2 linked regions of the Arabidopsis thaliana genome follow. The protein of the gene in region 1 interacts with the protein of each later gene in a pairwise test. Each region holds a gene or a part of one and is shown in the gene's direction. Other genes may lie near its edges.

Region 1 (7,242 bases):
GTTGCGCTTTAATCGTTCTCCACGAAGAAGAAGAAGCACATTCCCAGAGGGAAGAACACAGATCTCGGAGATTCTCTGCTTCTTCAACAAGCAATTGAAGAAAACGATGAGCAGATTAGGGTTTTCAGATTCTTCTGCAATAGGATTCGATAAATGCGAGAGTCTGTTTCTACGATTTCATATCTGGAGATTCAGAGCTTCCTCGTGCATGTTTAGAGACTTCTGCTCTTTTATTTTTTTTCGCTTAACTCAGATTTTTTAATATTTATAAATCAATGTATTTATTTGATTTTTATACGGAGAGGATTAATGTTGAGATACAGATATAGTGCGGCGCGGTGTACATGTGCTAGCAAAATTACTAGTTTACTAAGATTTGACTTCTTTTGATTGGCTTAGTGGAAATTCTCCCAAGCCACCATAGATGTTTTGACACGTTGATAGAATGTACTGTCAATGATTTTCAAGAGTGGGAAATTCACAGCTTTGTACTTTGGAGTTTGGAGGAACAACTGGAATGTTTGAGGTCGAATTTGGGAATTGAAATTTTTAACCCCTGGATGAGTTTATATTTGATTGATCTCTCTATTATGGGGTGTTGAATGTTATTTACAAAAAAAAAATAGTCATTGTTTTATGGACGAATAAATTATCTACTTGTCGTTTTTTTACCGAATAACGCATAAATTAGATTCAATACGGATAATTCCTAAAATAAAATAAAAACGGTTAGTTCTTCTAACATACGTTACTATAACAAACGTACTTGACGAGTTGGCATAAAAATGTATTTCTACTGTTTTAAAAGTAACGTACGATTCGTCTTGCATACTGTGACGAAATATGTAAATTCTTTTGTCGCTTAGTGATGATGTGAATTATTTTGATTCATAAAGTAGAAACTCGATACATACCTATTAACTAAACATGTATTATGTTGTGATTCATTTTTGCCTAACAAATAAAATTTATTAGCAAGAACCATTAAAATTTCATACTAATTTTGGATACTAAAATGTTAGATTGATATATAAGAAAAGTATATACTCAAAAAGATTTAACAATTTACCAATATTTAGTATTGGAATCAGTGTAGTGTTTGTTAGTACATGCTTTTCTACATTTAGAAACAGTTAAATTATAATTGCAAAAGGAAGCAATATTGAGGTATTAATAAGGTTTTACACTTTTACTTCAGCTAGCTTTGAATTTTAGAAGTTTTATGGACTATTAAATTATCTACTTGTCGATCTTTCATAAAAACTGTTGGCTCTTGCGAGAGATATGTGACCTTCCAATTGATCGCGAAGTGATAAGATGTATTCGATTTTTTCAGCTTATGCCATTTTTACAACTTTTCGGAAAAATGTTTCAAAATATCCATTATGAATTTGACATCCAAGTTATAAATTAGATAAAATTTACTTGAGATAACATATGGACATATAGATTTTACTTATTTATTAGAGTTCATTAACGAAAAATTATTGAGTTAAATATAGACATCTTTAAACTCGTTAATTTTAAAAAGAAATAATAAACAATATATATATATATATAAATATTTTATTTTCAAATTTTATTTATTTAAAGGGTTTTAATTTTTATTAACAGTTATAATATTTATGATTGTTTCCGGTTACTTTGATGCTATTTTCTCGTAATTCCCTTTTGTACATATATATTTAGAACCAAAAATTCAATCATTGAGAAGCATACTCTCTGTCAAGTGTAATTGATTCCTCCTCTTCATTTTTTAATTCTTCATTTCTTAAGTTTTATTAATTAATTGACTCACCTCTTCATCTTGTTTATTTCCAAGTAATTTTCCTAATGATGTCAATAAACAAAAATAAAAAGATTAAAATCACGCAATATCAGTAAAAAAGGAGAGAGGGTTAAATCGGTGGTGGACTTTGCAGCCCTAAACCATTGTTTCGCCTCGGAAAAGCCCATTTACACAATTGGGAAATAAATAAAAACAGAGTAAAGAAAGGAACGTCTTTTACTCTTTACGGTATCGCTCGCTTCTCTTCTTTCTCCTCAACACGAAGACCCCTCTTGCCTCTTTATTAGAGAGACCCCTTCCTTCTTCTTCTTCACCTTCACCTTCTTCCTCGATTCAGATCGTCTCCTCCTCTGTTTTATACTCACCCTATTCCTTCGAATCTCTCTCCATTTTTATCCCCAGATTCTCCCTTCTTCAACCTCGTCGACTCTTCTTCATCACTCTATTTCTTCCGATTGAGACTTCTTTCACTCTGATTTTCTTCGACCCTTTACGGATATATTCGGTCTTGAGTCTCCATCGGATTTGGATTTGAATGTAGGTATCTCGCACGAGAGTTGTTGTTTAACGTAAATCTGGGTTCTTTTTTTTGGTGGGTCGTTGTTTTTCTTCTACATGCAGTTTTGGGGATAGTACGTGCGATTCATCGATCAATCCTCGTTTAGATAGACATCAAGGATTTAAAGGAGTCGTTAAGAGAGCAATGGAAGGAGACATGGTGGCTAAAGTGAAGAGAGAAACGGTGGTGGCATGCATGACTTGTCCTCTCTGTGACAAACTCCTCCGTGACGCCACTACCATTTCAGAGTGTCTTCACACGTGTTAGTTCCTCTTTCCCCTTCTCGATTTACGTTTCGATTCGATTTTACCCGGTTTCTAATTTTCGCAATTTCTCGTCTTTATCGTCTTCTTTGATTGGTTCTCTGTTGTGTTTTTTTTTTCTTCCTCTTGCTGATTTGGATTGAATATCTGCATGATTCTTGTTGTTAGTCTCGTATGCCACTTATGATCTCCTCTATGTCTCAGTCGATTTGATGAAACTCGAGTCAATGAATAGTTTTGTTTGGTTTTCTCAACTAAAGTAATAGTTGTTGTTGAGCAGAATTTGTAATCTTTGTTTACATTTAGACTGCAAGAATCCTCCTTTATTCGTCTCTTTAGGTAAAATTTGTGAGTGTCTTCTTCTTCGTCAAAGATGGTTTGGTCAAACTCATGACGTCCAAATTTGGTTTTGGCTAATCATGTTGTTAGTTAGATTCAGTTGCTTTGTTATATCCAACTTGTAAGTTTTGTGTTAGGAAGTTCGAGTAACAAGTGCTTTAATCTACTCTCATCGGTTTAATGTAAGTTAATATTTGGATTAAGTAGCATTTATCAGCCTCTTTCTTCTACATGATATTATACAATTAAGACAGTTTAGATCATTTTCTGTTTGGAATGGCTTAATTTATTTCTTTTAACATACAATCCAGATTAGTAGTGAGTTTTCTGCATGTTGAAGTATTTGCTGATCTCTGTAATTTATTCAAATTTAGTTTATATTCCTTTTGGAGTCTAAATCAATCTACCATTCCAAGCTTTACACAACCAATTCTTTGTTACCGTTTACGGAGAAATATACCTTGTTACTCTGTAATTATTTTACTCATTCCATCTGATTTTAAAAAGGTAAATGTTAACAGTTCGGTTCCGTTGTACAACTGACCAACTGCTTATCTCAATTTAATAAAATTTTCAGAACGCCCTGCAGAATCTCTTTTTGAGTTACTGCAGTGCCAAAATTAGGTGTTAAATGCTTCACGGTTTTGTTTCTGGGGATGAATGCAGTATCCCCATCAAATTTGTGATTCCATCTCTTTTGTTTAGGTTGGTAGCTATGGATTTTCTTGATTTTAAAACCAAACAGTATGATGCTCATTAACCACTTGTCTACAAGCTTCTGCCATGACAACTAATATAACTTGATGCAGTAGAGACCATACCAATTATCGGCCTTGCTATAATGGATTTGGTGGAAGGAGTCCGATAATCTAACTTGCATCTAATAAATTCAAACTTGGCAGCGAGCCAACTTGCATTGAACCTCAAACATTATGCTATTCATTCTTTACTTAAACTTTTGATCTGAGAAATTGTTTGTTTTTATGTAAGTTGGTCGCCTTTATTACAAAAGATTTTGTTCTTACTTGATAGTTACTATCTATTGAAATGAAACAAGTTCTTATATCACTTTTATGCAGTTTGTAGGAAATGCATTTATGAGAAAATCACAGAGGATGAGATAGAGAGCTGTCCAGTATGCGATATTGACCTCGGGGGTACCCCACTGGAGAAACTAAGGTAAGTTCTTCTTCTTCTTTATTCCTTACACAATTTTCTCCTCGGTCTTGGTTTAGCAGTGATTCCTTGTATAGACTGTTAGAAGCCTTTTGGCTCTTACTGTTGATGAAACGAAGTTTTCTTACATAATGCTGAAAAGTTGTACATGATTATGCTGAGGTGTGCCACATATGGAAGGTTCTTCCGTAATTTTTGTGGCATAGTGTGAAGTTAATCAAGAAAAGTCATTTCGATTCAGAAGCAGTTATGACCTGAATATGTTGGCTAGTTTAATACTTTCGCTGACACCAACAATTTTTTGTTAGAACCTGAAACAAATCTCTTTAGTACTACACTCTCTCTTACTAGTTGGTCACCAGTAAGAGCTTTGTTGGTGGCGAACTTATTCATTTTCTAAAGAACCACTCTTATGTATTTATTTTAGGCCTGACCACATTTTGCAAGACTTGAGAGCCAAATTATTTCCTCTAAAACGTAAAAAGGAGAGAGCGCCTGAAGTTGTGTCCTCCATCTCATTACCTGCAAAGAGGAAGGAGAGGTCTATCTCGTCTTTGGTGGTAAGCACACCCAGGGTTTCAGCACAAGCTGGTACAACAGGAAAAAGAACAAAAGCTGCTACGAGAAAAGATGTAAGAGGTAGTGGTTCATTCACTAAGAGAACAGTGAAGAAGGAAGAAGAATTTGGAGATGATCATGTAGAGAGCGCAAGCTCGCCTGAAACACTTAAAAAGTTTACTCAGAATAAAAGACAGGTAAAGAAGGTGATCATTGCAGTTCTCTCTTTACCTTTATGTTTTACTTTTTCTCTTTACCAAGTCCAAACACAACGTTATGACTGATTATGGTCTTTATATAGTTCCCCATACATTTATTTATTTATTAATTCTTTTTTTGCAGTCTTCATATGCAAATCCTAACCAGTCCCTCTCTAATCGAAGAAACAAGGATGTTGATGAACCATGGGATTCCAAATTACATCTTTGGAAACCTCTAAATTTTCTTGTGGATGTGGCAAACGGAACAAAGGACCCAAAATCTGAGCTTGGAAACGCATCCCACAATGATGTTCAGGGGAGTAAAACCAAAACAAAGGATCATAAAAGAAAGTGTAAACTCGAGGAAGAGATCAGCAATAACGGTGATCCTACAACATCAGAAACTGCTACACTTAAACGAACGCGTCGGACTCGTCGCAAAAGGTCATCTACTTTTGGTGATTCTAGAATTCCACTGTTACCAGGTGCAGCAAGCCTAAAACAGGAGAGGAGAAACGGTCATGTTTGGTTCTCACTTGTAGCGTCAAGTAATCAGTGAGATTCCTGTTCTGTATCTGAGACTCTGAGTACTTCTGATATTCAATATTTTCTGTGTCTTTTCATTTCTATCTCTTAGTGACACGGCTTTACTGGTTTCAGGGAAGGAGAAGCATCATTGCCTCAGATTCCAGCAAACTACTTGAGAATAAGGTAAGTTGTTCTTTTTGCTTTGCTCTGTTTCTTGTCACTAAGTTTTTATATGTCAACTGTGAAGTCTGTGATCAAATATTACTTATTATTGCATTGATGGCTTTGAATTCGATTTCGCAGTTGTTTTACCCGAGTTTCCATGTCATGTTTGTTTTCTGTGGTATACGTTTCTTGATAAAGCCTTCTTCTTTTTTGGCCCATCACACCTAATCCTTGACTGGGAGGTGTCTATTTTCTTGTTTGGGAGAATTATATTGTGCCAGAGTTGATCCCCTGTCTCATTATATGGTAGGGATGGAAATATTCCAGTTTCTTTTATCCAAAAGTACCTCATGAGGAAGCTTGATCTCAAGAGTGAAGATGAGGTAAGCAATCTTATCTTATGCAGTGGCTACTTTTCTGTTTTATATGAGGTATCCACTCGGTCTAATATGGAATCACATAGACCGTAGTTCTATACATTGGTTCAAGTCTTGTGCTTATCAATATGACTGTAAGGTCCCCATAAATGTTTAAACTAAAGTTAACTCTCCCTTTTATTTCCGACTTGTGTACCGGGTGATATCTTATGATCTGGGACTTTTTCGACCCACCGGTGTTGAACCTTAACTACTCTATGTTTTTTTTTTGTAAACAGGTAGAGATAACATGTATGGGAGAACCAGTGATCCCAACGTTGCAGCTTCACAGCTTAGTAGACCTATGGTTGGAAACAACTTCTAAGCATCAAAGAGTCGCTGCGTCAATAGGTTCATCTGCAAAGGAATTTGTAATGGTGCTAGTTTATTCTCGGAAGCTCCCTGAATGCAACAACTAAAGAGCTATTCATTGAATCTTTTCTAGACCGAGAAGAAAGAAAAGTGCAGGAGCAGTGGAATGTCTTGTGTAGAAAGAAACTTAGCAATTTATATTTATTTAATTGTAATCTTAAAATTTGAAACATTGGTGTGAGACAGACACTTTGTTTGTTTATCCAAGAAGATTCAAAAATGGCTTTTTAAAGGAGATTGTGTCCTTTTTGGATATTTGAATGTATGATTAGGATAATGTTGTCATTTCTATAAATATTTGTTTCCTTGTTTGGACTAAATGGAGAAGTACACGGAATCCTTGTGAATCGAATGACTTAGCCATTATTGAGAAGTCAAAAGAAAAATAACCAAAAAAAAACTTGTGAAGTGTACCTTTAATACAAGAATTAAAGAGAGATGTATAAAAGTTTTCTAACAATTTTGTTCACCAAAAAAAAAAGTTTTCTAACAATTTTTAATACAAAATGCAAAATTAAAGATGAATTTTCTTATTTCTTTTTTTAAAACATAATTTTGAAGAAATTTGGTTGTCTTTTTGCATTTGTTTCTAGATATTTCTAAACTGTTGGGAAATAAAAAAATTTGCACACAAAACATAGTTAAATTCACGTGGTATTTATAGAGATTTACTTCAACCAAATTTGGATTTTGGGTCATTGTTTTATGGACGGATAAACTATCCATTAGTCAAATTTCCACAAAAATAATATGTGAATTAGATTCGACAAGGCTAATTCCCCCACAACATACGATACTAGAACAAACGTACTTGACTACTTGACGTAACAATGTTTCTCTTACTGTCTTGAAAATAACATATAACTCGTTCATCACC
Region 2 (3,683 bases), on another chromosome or scaffold:
GTTTTATTAGTGTCAATTGTTGTTTTGATGGGGAAAATGAGAAGATCAGATCATCCCCTTGTTTGTCCTGGGACCAGTTTCTTGTTGCTAAGTAGTTTAGATGCAACCAGCGACTCGAGGTCATAGTATTCACCAACAGGCATACACTCGTACCCATTTACACTATCTTGCTAAGGGTTTTTGATATAGCACCACTGCATCGGTTGAGTTCTTGATAGATACTTTTGGCATAGAATGTGTAGTTGGTGAGAGCAGTGTTAATAGTCGTTAGAATACCACCTGGGTGATCTATTTCTTTGTCCGTCCTCTCTGTTGTTTCATCTCCTATAATGCTTAAACAACATATTTTTTATTTTTACATTTTGAGTTTGCATGTTCTTTCTAATAGCTAAAGGATAGTTGAAAGATCTTTAGACTAGTTTTCAGTAGTTATTCTTTGTAGATTTTTCATGTTGGTAGCCAGAGATGGAAGTTACTATATATTACGAATCTTATCGTAAAATGTTTCTTTGAGGAATGGATAAAAGTAGTGGTAAAACCTGAAAGTTTAGTTTAACTGATCTTCCACTGGTACAAAGCCTCAGTAAGGACCCAAGTTTGAATCCTGCTTACGGTTGCATATAACTTGGCGGATCAAATATGTCTTTTGCTGCTGAAATTCACGTTCTTGCTTGACTTGTATTCATCTTTTTCACTCATGGCAATGAAGAACAAAAGTTCTAAGTATTTCAGAACACAATTCGGAAGATTTTTACACCATCTGATTCTTGTATTGTCTGTCTTTTGAATGAAATACTTTTTTCAGAAGGTGGCGAATCATGCTGCTCGGTGGAACGAAGCAATCTCGGTAGTGAAACGTGTGCCCATAATCCGGCCAGCACTTCCGTCATCAGTGGGTATGAACCAGTGGTCCATGATGAGTTTAAGGTGAAAATTAAGTGAATTTGAGGGCATAATAATGCATATATGTGAGATTATATGATTTGATGTGGTTGGTGCATGTATCATATGATTGTATTAAAAATGTTACAAAAACATACAAAAAGATGCTTGTAAGTTTGTACTGTGTGTGTATATATTGTTACTTGCTTGGTGGAATACAAATTGGATCAGAATCATAGTGCAGTTTTGGAAGGTTGCGGTCAGAATCTAACCTTGATAAGCTTCTGAGCTGGTCTTAGTAGGCAGTGTCGTAAAGAGATTGTACAAAGACAAAAGCCAATAACGGAATTTTGGTTGTTTATTTAGAAAGTACGACTCTTTAAGATATGAAAAGGGTTAAGACAAAAACCCAAATTAACAGGGAAGTTCACGTGAAGAGGGCAATGTTTCTGATTGATGTAGCCATGTAGGAGTCTATCTTTCACTTTATAGCTATCCTAAACTCTACGATGTCAATTGTGATTAGATATATGTCTCTTCTTCTTGTTTCTTTGTCTTCTTTCACTCTATTATTCGTTGACCATTGTACCACCAAAGTTTGGTATACTCACTTATCATACTTAAATCACAAGTGAGTATTGTAAGGAACTAAGGATCCAAAGCTAAAGCATACTCATGAAGTTTAACTATTGACGTTTAACGGAAATAAAGCAAACCAAAATTCGAACTTCAAGATAAATCTACCCATTGTCTTCACGTAACATACTCAAATTTTGGTTTGCTATGTTTGATTCGGTCTATAAAAACACAGACAATAACTTAAGACCTATGTAACAATTTCCTCCATGAGAAGAAGACAAATTAGACCAAAAGTTTGAGAGAAACCTATAAAACCTACAAATATTGGGAAGAAAAAATAGGAGTAAATAGGTATGGGTCCATGTTAATGATGCATGTGACAAACAATCAAAGCCCACACCATTAATTGGAGATTGAAGAAAAAACACTGCTTTTCATATTCTGTAACACCACTTCAATTCCTTTTTCTCTTGTTTCCTATTCAGTACTATGTCCTGAGAGTGCCCATAACTTCTTTTGTCTTTTTATCTCAGTTTCCATAAGAAATAATCAACTCAAGCCACAATGTGTGTTTGTGTGATTAGTTTTGTGATAAGACATTCCATAATTTTCCTATTGTGTGTTTAGGATAAGTGAAGATGCTTTTGGTTTGGACCATATTATATAAATAACATGTGTCTGCAATGCCGCAAAGTGGAGCTTTCTTCACTCACAATAATCATTTTTTTTTTTCATTGAATGAAACAAACAAGACATTCAAAATAGAACAAAAGTTCTACAGAGATAGAGAGAGAAAGAGAGCTTTTCTTCATGGGTGGTTCTACAAGCAAGGATGAGAGAAACAGTAGTAAGAGACGCATCAAGGTGAAAGCAAATGAACAGAGAAGGAGAGAAACAAGAAGAGAGCTTGATGAGAAAGAGAGAGTGATTTTGGCGTTGAAGATGGCAGAGACAGAGTGGAGGAAAGAGAGGAAGAGACTGAGAGAGGAAGTGAAGAGGCTGAGACAGAAGATGGAAGAGAAGGAAGAAGGAAAGGCGAAACAACACGAGTGGGAATGGGTCGTGGAACAGATGTGTTTAGAGAGAGCAGTGAGGGAAGAAGCTGTGGAGAGGTGGAAGCAGCTCTACTTTGCTATCAAGAATGAGCTTGATGATCTCATCCACACAACATATGGTAAGACCTTTCACAAATAATCTCATCTTTGATGTTTTGAGAAAGGAAGGTAATGAGTTTTTTTTTTCTTTTGTAGGAGAGGCACTGAGACAGAAACCGCAAGAAGAAGTTGCAAAGGCAGTGCAAGAACTCAGAAAGGAAGTTAAAGCTAGGGGAGAAACCATTGAGACACTGAAAGGGAGAATAAATTTGATGGAGAAACAACAAAATGGGAAGGAAAGAGAGATTGACTTACTGAGACAGAGTCTGCGTATCCTCGGCGGTAGCAGCGGGAAGAACAAGGCACTATCATCTACTACCAGAAACCTGACAGTATTCAAAACAAAATTCATCGGGTGTAAATAACTGTTTTAGTCATTTGAAGTTACTTTTCCACAAGGATTGCTGTATAAGTAGACTCAGTAAGCTTCAAGCAATAATAAGCCATTTCTTTCCTATCTCATGACGCTAAAGAAAGTTGTATATACTTCACAAGTAACATATCCAGCATCAAGAAAATCTAATGGAAAAGAAAAACGGTGAATGATCAGGGATTAAGATTGTTGTCTCCAAATTGATCTAAGATTATGTAGAAACTTAGTACGTAAAAATAAGAACTGCGTGCAAAGGTTCCAAAACAAACGAAAGCTTAAGGATTGAGATAACTTACTTCTCCCGCAGCTGTTCTCCTGAAAAGCTCACAGATGCAAATAATGCTGAAACTAGCCAACCGAGAGGCGAGGTCCGAGGTGTAACGGTCCCTGTTAGCCAAAAATAACATTCCCTGCAAGGTCTCCCTGAGCATGCAGTGAGAGTATAATGTTCAAATTTCATCTATACGCATTGTGATAAATTCCAACCATCTTGTCCCCTTTTGATACCATGTCTACGTTTAAGTTTACACGACTGAACCACAGATCACTATAAAATAATTACAATGGATGCTTGTCTCTTGTATATAGTATACAGTGTGAATCCTATACAGCTGAAGCGAGCCACTACATGCTCTCACTTAGCTCTCTCCCACTGATTGGATAGTAGTACTTTCAACGCCTTTCGGATCTTCAAC

What was found.
Region 2: the proteins of DRIP2 (region 1) and AT4G13540 interact in a two-hybrid assay, tested with the Arabidopsis thaliana proteins (one large-scale study listed by BioGRID).

The regions. Positions count from the first base shown.
Region 1 is NC_003071.7:13,023,952-13,031,193, forward strand, and holds DRIP2 (DREB2A-interacting protein 2), read left to right. Parts: upstream 1-1,959; 5' UTR 1,960-2,492; coding exon 2,493-2,610; intron 2,611-4,029; coding exon 4,030-4,129; intron 4,130-4,553; coding exon 4,554-4,881; intron 4,882-5,026; coding exon 5,027-5,439; intron 5,440-5,544; coding exon 5,545-5,595; coding exon of another isoform or gene 5,596-5,599; exon of another isoform or gene 5,600-5,887; coding exon 5,888-5,960; intron 5,961-6,232; coding exon 6,233-6,412; 3' UTR 6,413-6,710; downstream 6,711-7,242. UniProt on the Arabidopsis thaliana protein: E3 ubiquitin-protein ligase that acts as a negative regulator of the response to water stress. Mediates ubiquitination and subsequent proteasomal degradation of the drought-induced transcriptional activator DREB2A. Functionally redundant with DRIP1.
Region 2 is NC_003075.7:7,867,625-7,871,307, forward strand, and holds AT4G13540 (golgin family A protein), read left to right. Parts: upstream 1-1,695; 5' UTR 1,696-2,271; coding exon 2,272-2,635; intron 2,636-2,711; coding exon 2,712-2,980; 3' UTR 2,981-3,166; downstream 3,167-3,683. Other genes in the region: AT4G13530 (uncharacterized protein), read left to right, coding at 806-931; AT4G13550 (putative triglyceride lipase), read right to left, coding at 3,627-3,683.